2 linked regions of the Anolis sagrei genome follow. The protein of the gene in region 1 purifies or fractionates together with the protein of each later gene. This does not show direct contact. Links are inferred from orthologs where the notes say so. Each region holds a gene or a part of one and is shown on either strand. Other genes may lie near its edges. The genes, in order: RIMS1 and ERC2.

Region 1 (7,286 bases):
CTTGGGGACTCCACATCCTGCATGCTCCTCACCACCAGTCTCAGTGGTAAAAGAAACATCAGCACACCCCAAAGGTTGCTAATTTCTGTCTTCTACCTTCACAGCACCCTAACCTTTAAAGCTGAACCTATTGTGTCCTCCTCTGAATGTGATTTTCCTGCTTCTTGGCTGAGTGCTGGACTGGATGGTCCACGAGGTCTCTTCCAACTCTATGATTCTATTACTGGGCCCAGGTGTATATTTGGACAACAGCACCTGCCACCACTATTGCAATTATCCAAATTCCATTCAAATTTCAGAGCGAGAACAGACAACATCACAATAAGAAACAAGGAAACACCCCAGGTCTATCCCTGGCAATATACATGGCAGAGAAGTTCAGAGAACACAGGGATTCCATATTATAGATGACACAGCTAGCTGGAGGGAGAGGAGAAGAACAGACAAATACTACAACTCACACCTTGGAATGCATTGCTTGGCATTCAATGCTCCGTCTCCACACCCCCCCCCCCCCAAAGCCTCACACTGTGTTTACACATCTTTTGGGAAGCCACCAATCCTCCAAATAAACACATGGGAAGCAAATGCATAGAGAGGAAAGGGGATTTTCTTAGTACCTCTACCAACAGGAAGCTGACATGTTACAGATACACAGGTATAAATATACAGATTGCATTCTGCTACCTAGGCCCAGAGGATGTTAGATGGAGACAAAGCCTCCCTCCCTCCCTGTACACAGGCCCAATAACCCTGTTTAGATGTAGCAATCCATCTAATATCGTGCTATTAGATCTCAGGACACTTATTGGTAGAAGGATAATGAATCTGTTCATGCATGACATGGGTGAGGAAGAGAGGCTGTAGCACAGCAGAGCTATGGGCAGTTTGAAATATGGACAGCTCCCAAATATGGCATCTCCCAGCACTCTGGCATCCCCATCACCACACACACACACTTTTACAGCTAAAGACTTAGGTTAGGGGATGAAGTCAACGGATGATAAGGTCCCACCAGTGGATAGGCACAGCCATTTCTGGGAGACCAGACATGCTATTGATTGCATTTATTGTATCCCCCATGGCATCTCTTCAAAACATGCCTTAAATCCACCACCATGCTGTACACACATATTGGTAAGATAAGAGGAGGGGGAGATTGAAAGGATTGGAAAGGAGGGGGGACAACTATAGAGACCCAGATGGAGAATTCCTGCAGGTGGTTGAGGGAACCAGGCACAAGCCAGCCACCAAGGCCCAGGGTGTGGACGTGCTTGTGCCAGGCGGGGGCAGCATGGCCTGTTCAAGGCTCCGGTGAGGGAAACCCCACCCTGAATGACCCTCCCAAAATAGGCTGGGTTGACTTGAGGGTCTGATGGGGTTTTCCCCTAAAAAAAACCTTTCAAATTCTTCCAAACGTTTGCTTTAACATCAAAATAAAGCCAGAAGTCATGGCTGATGCACCTTTTGGAGAGAACCCCAGAGGAGGCTAAGGGTTGGATTGTGGTTCAGGGGTCTCCTCACAGAGGAAGAGTTATCTCAGGAGTGAAGAGGAGGGAGGGAGGAAGAGGCACTTGAGGCTCTTCCACACAGCCCTATATCCCAGATTATCAAGGCAGGCAATCCTACATTATCAGAGTGTGGACTCAGGGCCCTTCTACACAGCCCTATATTCCAGAATATCAAGGCAGGCAATCCCACATTATCCGAGTGTGGACTCAGAGCCCTTCCACACAGCCCTATATCCCGGTATATTAAGTCAGGAAATTTCTCAATATCTGAGTGTGGACTCAGGACCCTTCCACACAGCCCTTTATCCCAGAATACCAAGGCAGGCAATCCCACATTATCTGAGTGTGGACTCAGATAACCCAGATATTGTGGGATTTTCTGTCTTGATATTCAGGAATATAGGGCTGTATGGAAGGGCCCTGGGTTGAGTCCACACTGCCATATATTCCAGTTCAAAGCAGATAATATGGAATTGATATCTTGGGATATAGGGCTGTGTGGAAGGGCCTTTGGATAGGGCCCGAGTGGGGCCTCAAGCCAAGCCAGGCAGCCCTAGAGCCCCTTTTCCCCTGCCCCCCCCTTTCCCCCCTGACCCCACCCCGCCATGCATGGCCCATTCATAAAACTCTCCCTCTCCTCCCTCCCTCCCTCGGTGGCTGACAAGACCAGATCCAGCCCACCCTCCCGCGAGGAGAGAGAGAGAGAGAGAGAGTGAGCGAGTGAGTGAATGAATGAACCAGGGAGAGAGGAGAGGAGAGGGAGGGAGGGGCCGGCCTGGGGCTTACTTGAGCATGGCCTCTTCCTTCTCCTCCTCCTCCTTCTGCCGGTCCATCACGGCCAGGATGATGTTGCGCTCCTCCTCCGTCAAGTGGCTCAGGTCGGGCAGCTCCGGCATGGGGGGCGGCACGGCGGGGGGACGAGAGGCGCGCAGCCCCACCGAGCAGGAAGAAGAGGAAGAGGAAGACATGGTGGTGGTGGTGGTGGTGGTGGTGGAGGGCTCCTCTCCTCTCCCCCCTCCTCCTCCTCCTCTTCCTCTTCCTCCTCCAACGCCTTGGGACCCGGGCGCGACGCTAGCCAAGCACGCCGCCGCCACCTTCTCCTCTTCTTCTTTTTCCTTCTCTTCCTCTTCTTCTTTTTCTTCTTCCTCCTCCTCCTCCCGCTACACTGGAGCCCTGTGTTCATGGGCAGCGGCAGCCAGCAGCTCTGGGGAAGCAGCAGCAGGAGAAGCAGCAGCAAGAGGAGGAGGAGGAGGAGGAGGAGGAGAGGCGGAGACCCGGGCGCCGTTCATGGTTGCTCCTCGCCTCCGCCCCAGAGCCGCCGCCGCCGCCGCCGTTGTTGCCCCTGGCTCTCTCCTCGCCCTTTGGCTTCGGGGCCTCAGGCGGATCCGGGGATGCCCCGCAGCCTCGGGCAGCCCAGCATCCTCCTTCCCTCTCCTCCTCCTCCTCCTCTTCTTCAAGGCTCCGGGAGGAGGAGAAGGCAAGGAAGGGAGCAGCAGCAGCAGCAGGAGCCACGGGTGGAGCTCAGGTCCTTCGGTGCACTGTCAGGGCTGGAGGGGGAGAAAGGAGGGAGGGAAGGAAGGAAAGAAGGAAGGAAGGAGGATGCAAGGAAGGAAGGAAGGAAGGAAAGAAGGAGAGAAGGAAGGGAGGATAGAAGGAAAGAAGGAAGGGCGGATGCTGCCGCGGCTCCAATGCTCCACTGCTGCTGCTGCTGCTGGGAGCGAGCTACAGGGAGGGGAGGGAGGGAGGAGGGAACTGGGTGTCACTTAGGCGGAGTCCACACTGCTCCACTCCCGGGTGATGCTCAAGGCTCTCCTCTCTCTCTCTCTCTCTCACTCACTCTCTCATCTCACCCACCTTCTCTCTCCCTCGCTTCCCTTTCTCAGCTCTCTCTATCTGCTCTGTTTCTCCCCTCCTCTCTCTCTCGCCCTCTCCCTCTTTCCATACCACGCTGGAAATATACATAGACACCTTTCTCTTTCTCTCTCCCTCTCTTCCACTCCCTCTTTCCACAGCATGCTGGAAATATACATAGACACCTTTCTCTCCCTCCCTCTCTCTCCCTCTCTCCACAGCAGCTGGAAATATACATACACACCTTTCACTCCCTCCTTCCCTCCCTTTCCCTCCCTTTCAGCACACTAGAAATATACATAGACACCTCTCCCTCCATCCATCCCTCTCTCCCTCTCTCCACAGCACACTGGAAATATACATAGACACCTTTCTCTCCCTCTCTCTCTTTCCACAGCATGCTGGAAATATACATAGATACTTTTCTCTCCCCCCCCCCCCCACCTCTCCACAGTATGCTGGAAATATACTTAAGACACCTTTATTGCCCTCTCTTCCTCCCTGTCTCCACAGCATGCTGGAAGTATACATAGATACCTTTCCCTCCCAGCCTCCCTCCCTCTCTGCTGGAAATATACATAGACACCTTTCTCCCTTTCCCTCTCTTTCCACAGCATGCTGGAAATACACATAGATACCTTTCTCTCCCTCCCTCCCTCCCTCCCTCTCTCCCCACAGCCTGCTGGAAAACTACATGGACACCTTTCTCTCCATCCCTTTCCCTGGGATCCTGTGTATTTCCTGGGGGATATGGGGAGAGTCATTTTTCCAAGGATATGGCTCCTCTTTCCAGGCAAGTAGTCCTGCTTCCCAACCTGCCACAGAAAGGGAGAGACAGAGGGCGAGCAGGTTGGCCTCGCCTTTGGATCAGAGTTCCCTTGGGGTGTGCCAGGGTGAGAGCCATCTCCTGGGCGGTTACCCAGAGGGAGTGTGCTCTCCCCAAAACCCAGTCACAGGTTTTTCCAGGGTTTAGAGGGAGGGCAAGGCTGGTGACCCTAAGGAGTCTGAGGCTAAACCAGGCATGGGCAGATATCCGCCCTTCAGGTGTTTTGGACTTCAACTCCTCCAATTCCTAACAGCCTTAGGCCCCCTCCTTTCTTTTCTTTCCTTTCCACTTAAGCAGGTGAGGGGTGAAAGGAAAGGGCCTCAAACTGTTAGGAATTGGGGGACTTGAAGTCCAAACACCTGGAGGGCCAAATTCTACCCATGTCTGAGCTAAACCATGCTGCTCTGAGCACAATCCAAGGTGGGGATGTGCATCCAAAAAATCAACAAGCCCCCTACTGTATCTGGGATGAATGAGGTTAGGATTCACATTGTAGGGAGTGCCCTTAATTTTTTAGTTCATTTTCTGTGTGCAAACATGGCAGATGCAGCAAATGATTGAAGCATCATGTATGGGAGCAGGCGTGGGAAATGTTGGTATGCTCAAGTCCTGCGTTAGACAGTACTGCTTGGTGGCTCCTGTATCAGTGTATCTATCTATTCCAGTCTTTTGAAAGAGAGCTCTCCAGGGCATTGAACTTGTTTGAATACTCTAATTCAGCACCATGGAAAGCTCCTTTGAAGGTTGGGTTGGAACTCCTTCTTCATTAGCCAGGGCCCACTGAAGCCATTGATTCCTCACCCTTTAGACCAGTGATTCTCAACCTGTGGTCCGCAAGAACTAAAATATGGTCCGTGGCCACACCATTACTACATTGTTGCAACGAGAATTACTGGTCTCGTGAAATCCTTTTATAGTGCCAAGGCTTATTAAATATGGTTTTCTGTGGGTGAGCTGATGGTGACTACTGGATGGCATATGTTCAGTATCAGAAACTAGAGCTGATGTGGTCTATCCAATGTAATTTTCTGAATCAGCACCCCAAATAACCAAACTGAATCTAAAGTTAACCAAAAACTGATTCATAACCCTTTCAGTACTAACGTTGGAGAGTGGTCCCTGGTCAAAGTGATCCCTGGTCAAGTAATCCCTGGTCAAAAAAGGTTGGGAACCACTGCTTTGGACTTAAGTAAATTTCAGCTCAATCCGAAAGGCTTGTCTACGTATTAGTGCCAGTGACATGAAAATAAAATGTATGTGTTTTTAAAATATATCTGTTATTATGGAGCAATTTATAGAACTGATTCATGGATGTATTAATTTATGTCAAAATCAGGAAAAAAATCAGAATATGAATTAGATTATATTCCTTCTTTTTAAAAATTAAATGTTAGCAGGCATGAAATAATAAGATATTTGTTCATCAGAACTGAATATTAGCATGCCAAGTTTGGTACTGAGATACCATTTTGTTAGAAATATCTCTGTATATATATCAAATGGTGTGGAAAACCTTTTCCTGAGTGAAACACAAAGCTTTCATTTCCTTCTAGTACTTATGTATTCAATTAAAGGTGCATCTCCAATCAAAATCATAAGCCCTGTACCTGTCAGGTACCCTGCCCCAGAAATCCCACCCTAGATGGATATCATGTCACCAGAAGTCCTATTTGTGGGTGGGGCAACCATAGGAGGTCATATAAACACCATACAATAGCCTTGTGGATCTGTCAGAAGGCATTTCAGAGCCCTATGATCCATGTGGATGAAAAATGGTCTGAAAAACCTTTCTTTGCCTCTCCCCAGATTGTCTCAGAAAGTCACATGCTTCCTCTATGATCACATGGCTTCCATGTGGGCCTAGTTGGAAATATCCAATTGGTGTAGTTTCCATAATCTTTCCCAATTTGTTTAAAGGACGTAACAGGTGGAAATGGCCCTACACACACAGCCCCCTTCCTGGATTATCCCCTCTATCACCATGTAATGCCTCAGAAAACACATCCCTGGACAAAGGATTAATAGGAAGAAAGCTTAGAGGTTCAGACATTTTGTTTGCCAGTTCATGTCCTGAGAAGACGTTGAGTCTTGAACTACTTCATCAAGGCCAACAAAGCCTGAAACTGTAGTGACAGATGTGAAACTCTAAGCAGAAAACTTTATATAAGTTCTCATAATGCACTTCTTCATCAGGAAGCATGTGAATTTCCTAAACGTGAAACTACATGCTGGATACTATTTACCACCTGTAATGCAGGTAAAAATAAAAAAAAACACTAGTTCTTATTTTGGAGGAATTAGCTTAGTCTTGCAAAAAAGAGGTCCCAAAAAGAACATTCAGCATTCTTTATATTTTAGGAACCAGTAGCAGGGCTGCATAAAGCAAAACAAAAAAGTTAGTGAAGGATCTGTAAATATACTAATGCTTTGTGGATGATGATGTGTATAAGGCACACTCAGCTACACATGATTATTTGGTGGTGGATTTTGGTATCAAATGTATGTTTTAACAACAGCATTTTAAATCATTTTATTTAAAAATATTTTAGGAAGATGACAGTACAGGTACAACCCACCCAAGCCATGTCATCATGGTTGGTCTTCTAAGCTTACACATTAATCGTGAAACAGTGAATATGTCATCAAAAAGACAGACATCTTTAACAGGCTTTACTGTGAGATATACAGTCTATGGGGGTTTGAAGCATTGCCTAAATCACATATAGTATGAGTTATGGGTGATATAACTAGATCTCCTGGCCAAAGTTCACATGAGCGTTTCACCAGGACAAAATATTTAATATCTAGAAAACTGTGCATGTTAAGTGGGGGAAACTTTTTTGATAGCTGTTAGCAAATATGTGCATGATTTTAGAAATCCTCAAAGTCCCCCTTTTTGAATAATGGAACCTCTTTTCTTTTCACAGAGATACCATAAACTATTTTCTACACTGCTAGTGAATTGGAATATTAACATCAGCAAGACTTGCTTTCTTAGAATGGTGGAAACTATGATTCTTTAGAAGCAATGACAGTGAAATACCTCCACATTTTTGTTTTTAAAGTTATTAAACTGCTCTATAACCCCTACTTTAACT
Region 2 (8,203 bases), on another chromosome or scaffold:
TACATCTGTCTCCAAGCATTTCAGATAAGAGATACTCAACTTGAATAATAAATAGGAAGTCAGTTTTAAGGTGGTGTGTAGGTGTATAAATATTATTTAGCTATAGGTGCAAGGGTATTAAGGGTGATTATGAGTGGTAGTTTTTGTAACAGGTGGGTTTGTGTCACATAGCACTATTTTGCTCATTTCTGCTTACTTACATCTTGCTGTACTTTGTAATGTATATTGGGCTACAGTAGCATTGAGGGTTAAACCGCTAGCAGCAGAAAAATTGCTGGCCAGATGGTTAGCAGTTCAAAATTGTGGGTTGGGGTGAGCTCTGGGCTGTCAGTCCTAGCTTGTGCCAACCTAGCAGTTCGAAAATATGTAATATCAGTAGATCCATAGGTACCATGTTGGCGGGAAGGCAAAAGGCAGCCATACAACCATGCCAGCAAAATATGACCAGTGGAGTCCATGGACACCAGGCTCCTCAGTTTGGAAAATGGAACAAGATCACCTCTCCATGGCTAAGTTGAGCATCACCTCCAGATGCCGGGGATGGAAATGGAAACCTTTGCTTTCATTTGCATATTGTATGTCATTGTTCACTGTATAAAAGACTTGAATGTTTGCTTATATATGTATATACTGTAATTCACTCTAAGTCCCCTTGGGGATATAGAGTCGAATATAAATAAAGTGTATTATTCTTATTAAAGTGTGTATTTGTTAGATGTATTCCACATTTTTAGTTATGTATATGTTTACATATTTCATAAAACATGCATTCAATATATTTCATAAAACATTTAATGGGAAGTCAACATTTTAAGATTGGAGATATATAGGTAGAAGAGGGGGTTTAAGGCTGATTGAGGGTGGTAGTTGTTGCAATGGGTGTGGTGGGGTCGGGGCACTGTTATATATACATATTCTACATTTTCAGTTATGTTTGTGCTTATATACTGATATTTTGTATAGTTGATATATTCAATTTTTATAAACATAAAATATAGTTAAGATTTAAACATGTACATAGATACATAATTTCTCTCTCTCTATATATATATATTCCACCTAAAAGTGACTTCCCATTTAATAGAATTATTAAATATATTATATTTTATTAAATGGAAGTCAGTTTTTTAGGTGGGATACACACACATACACATACATATTCGATTATGTATGTGTTTAAATATTTATTTGATAAAAATCTAATATATTTATTATACTATAATCTTTATGTAATATATTTCATACAAATATTACGTGGGAAGTCAGTTTTCTAAGGTGGGAGAGATCTTATATTTTCAGTTATGTATATCTTTATGTATTTAATATAGTTTGGGCCTCTTCGAGGAGAAGATGGGGCAACGCTGTCAGGGGATAGGGAAAAGGCAGAACTACTAAATACCTTCTTTGCCTCGGTCTTCTCACAAAAAGAAAGTCATCTTCAACCTCAGCAAGACGGAGTGGATGAGGGATTTGAGGACATCCAACTCCAAATTGGGAAACAAGTCGTACAGGAATACCTGGCCGCTCTAAATGAGTTCAAGTCCCCAGGGCCAGATCAACTACACCCAAGAGTACTGAAGGAACTAGCGGAAGTCATTTCGGAACCATTGGCAACCATCTTTGAGAGTTCTTGGAGAACAGGAGAAGTTCCAGCAGATTGGAGGAGGGCCAATGTGGTCCCAGTCTTCAAGAAGGGAAAAAAGGATGACCCAAACAACTACCGTCCGGTCAGCCTCACGTCGATACCAGGCAAGATTCTGGAAAAGATTGTTAAGGAAGCAGTCTGCAAACACTTAGAAACAAATGCGGTCATTGCTAATAGTCAACATGGATTTATCAAAAACAAGTCATGCCAGACTAATCTGATCTCTTTTTTCGATAGAGTTACAAGCTGGGTAGATGCGGGGAATGCCGTGGATGTAGCGTACCTGGATTTCAGTAAGGCCTTCGACAAGGTCCCCCATGACCTTCTGGCAAGGAAACTAGTCCAATGTGGGCTAGGCAAAACTACGGTGAGGTGGATCAGTAATTGGTTAAATTGATGAACCCAGAGGGTGCTCACCAATGCTTCCTCTTCATCCTGGAAAGAAGTGACAAGTGGAGTGCCGCATGGTTCCGTCCTGGGCCCGGTCCTGTTCAACATCTTTATTAATGACTTAGATGAAGGGTTAGAAGGCAGGATCATCAAGTTTGCAGACGACACCAAATTGGGAGGGATAGCCAATACTCCAGAGGACAGGAGCAGGATTCAAAACGATCTTGACAGATTAGAGAGATGGGCCAAAACTAACAAAATGAAGTTCAACAGGGACAAATGCAAGATACTCCACTTTGGCAGGAAAAACGAAATGCAAAGATACAAAATGGGGGATGCCTGGCTCGAGAGCAGTACGTGTGAAAAAGATCTTGGAGACCTCGTGGACAACAAGTTAAACATGAGCCAACAATGTGATGTGGCAGCAAAAAAAGCCAATGGGATGTTGGCCTGCATCAATAGGAGCATAGTGTCTAGATCTAGGGAAGTCATGCTACCCCTCTATTCTGCTTTGGTTAGACCACACCTGGAATATTGTGTCCAATTCTGGGCACCACAATTCAAGAGAGATATTGACAAGCTGGAATGTGTCCAGAGGAGAGCGACTAAAATGATAAAAGGTCTGGAGAACAAGCCCTATGAGGAGCGGTTAAAGGAGCTGGGCATGTTTAGCCTGAAGAAGAGAAGGCTGAGAGGGGATATGATAGCCATGTATAAATATGTGAGAGGAGGCCACAGGGAGGAGGGAGCAAGCTTGTTTTCTGCTTCCTGGAGACTAGGACGCGGAACAATGGCTTCAAACTACAAGAGAGGAGATTCCATCTGAACATGAGGAAGAACTTCCTGACTGTGAGAGCCGTTCAGCAGTGGAACTCTCTGCCCCAGTGTGTGGTGGAGGCTCCTTCTTTGGAAGCTTTTAAACAGAGGCTGGATGGCCATCTGTCAGGGGTGATTTGAATGCAATATTCCTGCTTCTTGGCAGGGGGTTGGACTGGATGGCCCATGAGGTCTCTTCCAACTCTTTGATTCTATGATTCTATGATTTGTACAAATCTAATATATTTATGAAACTGTATAATCAATAGGTAATATATTATAACCTAGATACAATATATTTAGTAAAATATAACATATATGCAATGCATTTAAATCCAGATAGCCAATATTTTCAGTTACCAACACATTTATTTACTATAGTTTATAAAAATCTAGTATATTTATTCAACTGTATAATCAATATGCGGTATATTTAATAAAATACAACCAATATGCAATATATTTTAAATGTACCATGTATGCAATGTATTTAAATATAATGTAGAGGATATATATTATAGATCTCTCTTTTCTCTTAGGCGATCCCTCATTGTCTGAGTAGGATAGTTTCCCAAGATCAGTGTACTGGTGGGTCTGTAGGTGATTGTGGAGCCCTATTCTTGATCTGCATCTTCTCCTGCAGTGAAGGCATTGGTTTCCAGGTGGAAGGCGGTCTCAGTTGGGATTGGCTTGATGCGCCTACCTTGTTTCTCTCTTTCACCCTCCATTTGTGCCTCTTCAAATTCTACAGTACTGCTGGTCACAGCTGACTTCCAGCTGGAGCACTCAAGGGCCAGGGCTTCCCAGTTCTCAGTGTCTATGCCAGAGTTTTTAAGGTTGGCTTTGAGCCCATCTTTAAATCGCTTTTCCTGTCCACGAACATTCCGTTTTCCGTTCTTAAGTTCGGAGTAGAGCAACTGCTTTGGGACACAGTGGTTGGGCATCTGGACAACGTGGCCAGTCCAGCAGAGTTGATGGTGGAGAACCATTGCTTCAATGCTGGTGGTCTTTGCTTCTTCCATCATGCTGACATTTGTCCGCTTGTCTTCCCAAGAGATTTGCAGGATTTTCCGGAGGCAGCGCTGATGGAATCATCCCAGGACTTGCATGTGATGTCTGTAGACAGTCCGCGTCTTGCAGGCAAATAGCATGGTTGGGAGTAGAGCAACCGGACAACATGGCCGGTCCAGCGGAGTTGATGGCAGGGACCATTGCTTCAATGCTGGTGGTCTTTGCTTCTTCCAGCACACTGACCTTTGTCCGCTTAATAATTAATAATATATATAATAGATTATATATATGAATATAATAGATGTAATATATTGAACTATAACATATTTAATATATTTAAATATAATAGATGTAATATATTGAAATGTAACAGTTTTAATATATAAATAAATATAATAGATGTAATATATGGAACTATAACAGATTGAATATATTTAAAAATAATAGAAGCAATATATTTTAAAATAATAGATGTATATATACATATATATTATTTTTAAAATATATTACATATTTTAATATATTAAATAATAATAATACAATAATAGATGTAATATATTTAAATATAACAGATTTAATATATTTGAATATAATAGATGCAATATATTTTAAAATAATATATATATATATTACATCTATAATATAATAATAATAATACAATAATACATGTAATATATTTAAATATAACAGATTTAATATATTTCAATATGATAGATGTAATATATTGAAATAATAACAGATTGGAGATATATATATATATATATATATATATATAAGATGTAATATATTGAAATCTAATATTCAATTCAATATATTTCATAAAATATTTTTCAACGTTACTTTTCAATGTAAATGTGTTTTCTGAGCCTTCAAACCACAGCGACTACCAGCTGTTAAAGGGTGTATATATACCTTTTTGGGGCGGGGGGGGGGGGCTCCATCCAGGGAGGGGGCTGGCACGCCAAGGACCGCTTTGCTCTCTCCCTTCTCTCTCTCTCTGTCTCTCTCTCTCTCTCTCAGAAGCCTCTTTTCCCGAAGCAGCTCTCTACCGCCCCTAGCGGCGACTGCTGCTCATTGCCGCGCTCTCTCCTCGGGAATGCTGGGAATGTTGAGTCAGGCGCTGGCCGGGCTGCGAGCTGGCCGAGGCTGAGAGCGGGCAAGGCAGGCAAGGCAGGCAGGCAGGCAGCCCGGGAGAGGAGCCTCCCCGCTGGGGACGGACTGCGGCGCCGTGGGTCGGTCTCCTCGGGCGCTGGCCTCCTCCCTCTCTCCCTCCCTCCCTGCGACGCCGCAAGCCGTGATGGTGTAGGGCTCCATGCGAGGAGGAAGAGGAAGAGGAGGAGGAGGAAGAAGAGGAGGAAGAAGAAGAGGAAGGTGCAAGACGATGGTGGGGAAGGTAAGCAAAGGGCACCGCTTGGGAGGCACACCTTCGCCGAGGGGCCTGAGGATGGGGAGAGAGAGAGAGAGAGAGAGAGAGAGGAACAGGCATGGCTGTCATCCAACCCTCGGTGTGCCCAAAGGGGAGCTTGCATCCCTCTGGATCATAGTAAGGAGTCCATCCAGTGCCTCTCCCTTTCCAGGGAAGCAGATGCCTTCGTGCAATCCCTCCTCGAAAACAGCAGCCTGGTTGCCTTGCTGGCTGGGCTGTGCCTGGCATGGGCTGTTGTAGCCATCTCTCCAGATACACTATCCATCTCTCCATTTCTCTGTACAATATATCTAGATAGATGCCTGTGAGCCATCCCTACAGCGTTCTTGTCTACTAGGAAACGATGCCTGGGTTTGTAAATAGTAGATATTTGCAGGGGGGAAATGAATCAGTGCTGCTCCCTCCCTCCCTTCCTTCTTTCCTTCCCCTTCATCATCTTAGGGGTTTCCCAGGAAGGAGAAGAAATGGTATTTTATTATAGATGCAGTATATATTCCCATATATTCAATCTATATATATATACTCCCATATATTCAATCTATATATATATAACTTTGGATAAATTTAAATATATTGCATATATATATATATATATATGTTCAATCGACTATTTTAAAATATATTGCACCTATTATATTTATGCATATAAAATCTGTTATTTTTGAATATATTGCATCGATTTTTATATTATAGAAGCAGTATAATATAATGTATTCCATCTGTTATCTATCTATCTATCTATCTATCTATTACTTCTGTTATATTTATTATATTTAAACTATTTTATTGATCTATCTTAAATCTGTTGAATTTACATATATCACATCTATTATATTCAAATATATTGGATCTGTTCTATTTATATAATAATAATAATAATAATAATAATAGCAACTTTATTTTAACCCATCCTCTCTCCCCGAAGGAACTCAGGGTGGCTTCCACAGGCAAAAAATGGCAAACATTCAATGCCATGTCCTATGACAAAAAATTAAAATTAAAACAAGTACCAACAAACAGTTAAAAATGAGCAGTTAAAATAAACCAGTTATATAATAAACAAATGGATCCATGGCTTGTTAGGAGTGAGGGAGGGGTTACATTGTGGTCCCATCTGGGATGATTGGAAGAAGGGATGGTGACCTGTGCCCCCCCCCCCCTTGAGCTCTCTGTGTCTGTGATGATAGATGCTGTCTGGGTTTTGCACAAGGATGTGCAGCCATCAGGCGTGGGATGGAGAGACCCCTCCCTCCATTTGGTCCCTTTTAAAGCGGCTACCTGCTCAACCTGGGAGGAAAGGATGGAAGGATGGAGGGCCAGGGCTCCCTGTGAATTGACATGTCCCTTTTGATGGACAAGCCCACAGGCCACTGGCGTTGGCAGGGATGGGCTCCTGGCCCTGGGCTCAGCCAATTGGTGTGGCCAGGAGGAGGGCAGAGCTGCTGGTCAGAGCGAGTTTCCTGGTTGGCTTTAGGGACAGAAAGAGAAGAAATCACAGCTTTCTCTAAACCCTTTGCCTGCTACTCTCCCCAGCCTCTCCCCTTTTTCTCCACTGCAGTGAAAACCAACCAGAGGGGGGTCCCCACTATAAGTGTTGCCAGGGAGTCACATGGTGCATCTACACCGAAGAATGGATGCTTATGGAAGCATGGGATGTGTAGTTTGGTGAGGCACCAGCACTATAGGATCGAGAAGGCTAAAGACCTTGCAAAACTATAATTCTCAGGTTTGCATAGCACTGAGCCATGGCAGTTGAAGCAGGGTCAAACTGCATTAATTCAACAGTGTAGACCAGGCATGGGCTAGCTTCAGCCCTCCAGGTGTTTTGGACTTCAACTCCCACCATTCCTATCAACCTCAGGCCCTTTCCTTTCCCCCCTCAGCTGCTTAAGCGGCTGAGGGGGAAAAGGAAGGGGCCTGAGGCTGTTAGGAATGGTAGGAGTTGAAGTCCAAAACACTTGGAGGGCCAAAGTTGGCCCATGCTTGGTGTAGATGCACCCCTAGAGAGTCACACACACAATCTCCATTGGACACTTCCAAACCTCTCCGTGATGTATAGAGGGATCTTAGGCAATTTCAGCCTTAGTATTTGGGTGGCTTCTGTCTCTATTTCTCTCACATATGTTTCCTCAAAGAGACAGTCTGCAGGTCAGACCATGGGCAGCTTGTGGTCTGACCTCCCTCTTAAGACTCAAGCTGATCCCCACCATACAGAAGGATTTGTCATAACTGTGAGAGAAATGCACCCTTTCTCTCTTTAAGGATCTCATCATACTAGAGAATGAATCCACTTTAAATCCGGTTGCTGCCTCCTACAGAATTCTGGGGGTTTGTAGTTTAGGGAGGAGCATTTAACAGCCTCACTAAACTACAAACCCCAGAATTCTGCAGGAGGCAGAAACCAGATTTAGTGGTTCCTCCTCTTACCAGATGTTACTTTGGCTTTCCCTTTGTTTGGGAAGGTGCTCCGTGGCTGTCTGTCAAGAGGGCTTTGATTTCTCCATGACAGAATGGGCGGACCTGGTGGTCTCTTCCAACTCTAGGATTCTATGACTCTAAGATTTTTCCTCTCCTTAGGATTCCTTCATCTATGGATGGAGATAGCATAAATAATTGATCTAACCATATTCTTCATGGTATTTTTTTTAAATATACAGTGCTTTAGAGATACTGGTTGCATCTGCCAAAACATGGAAAAAAGATTCTCCTTTGGCATATCAGGAACAGGTTGTCAGGACCTAAGTAGGTCATTTTTCTAAAGCTGGAAATGTGTGTGACAAGAGTTCAACTGCATTTTAAGGAGAGGATGGAGGAACTTGGTTGCTGTGAGTTTTCTGGGCCAAACTCTTTTCTTTCATGTATTCCCACATCTCTTCTTCTGGTGCCAAACATCACGTTTACTGTGGACTTTTAAA

The links.
Region 2: the proteins of RIMS1 (region 1) and ERC2 purify together in Homo sapiens (affinity purification with western blotting; 3 studies listed by BioGRID and IntAct, with this or other methods). This does not show direct contact. The link is inferred for Anolis sagrei from reciprocal best matches to the Homo sapiens genes RIMS1 and ERC2.

The regions. Positions count from the first base shown.
Region 1 is NC_090021.1:112,632,610-112,639,895, forward strand, and holds the start of RIMS1 (regulating synaptic membrane exocytosis protein 1), read right to left. Parts: upstream 3,255-7,286; 5' UTR 2,480-3,254; coding exon 2,298-2,479; intron 1-2,297. UniProt on the Homo sapiens protein: Rab effector involved in exocytosis. May act as scaffold protein that regulates neurotransmitter release at the active zone.
Region 2 is NC_090022.1:58,447,108-58,455,310, forward strand, and holds the start of ERC2 (ERC protein 2), read left to right. Parts: upstream 1-4,930; 5' UTR 4,931-5,255; intron 5,256-8,203. UniProt on the Homo sapiens protein: Thought to be involved in the organization of the cytomatrix at the nerve terminals active zone (CAZ) which regulates neurotransmitter release. Seems to act together with BSN. May recruit liprin-alpha proteins to the CAZ.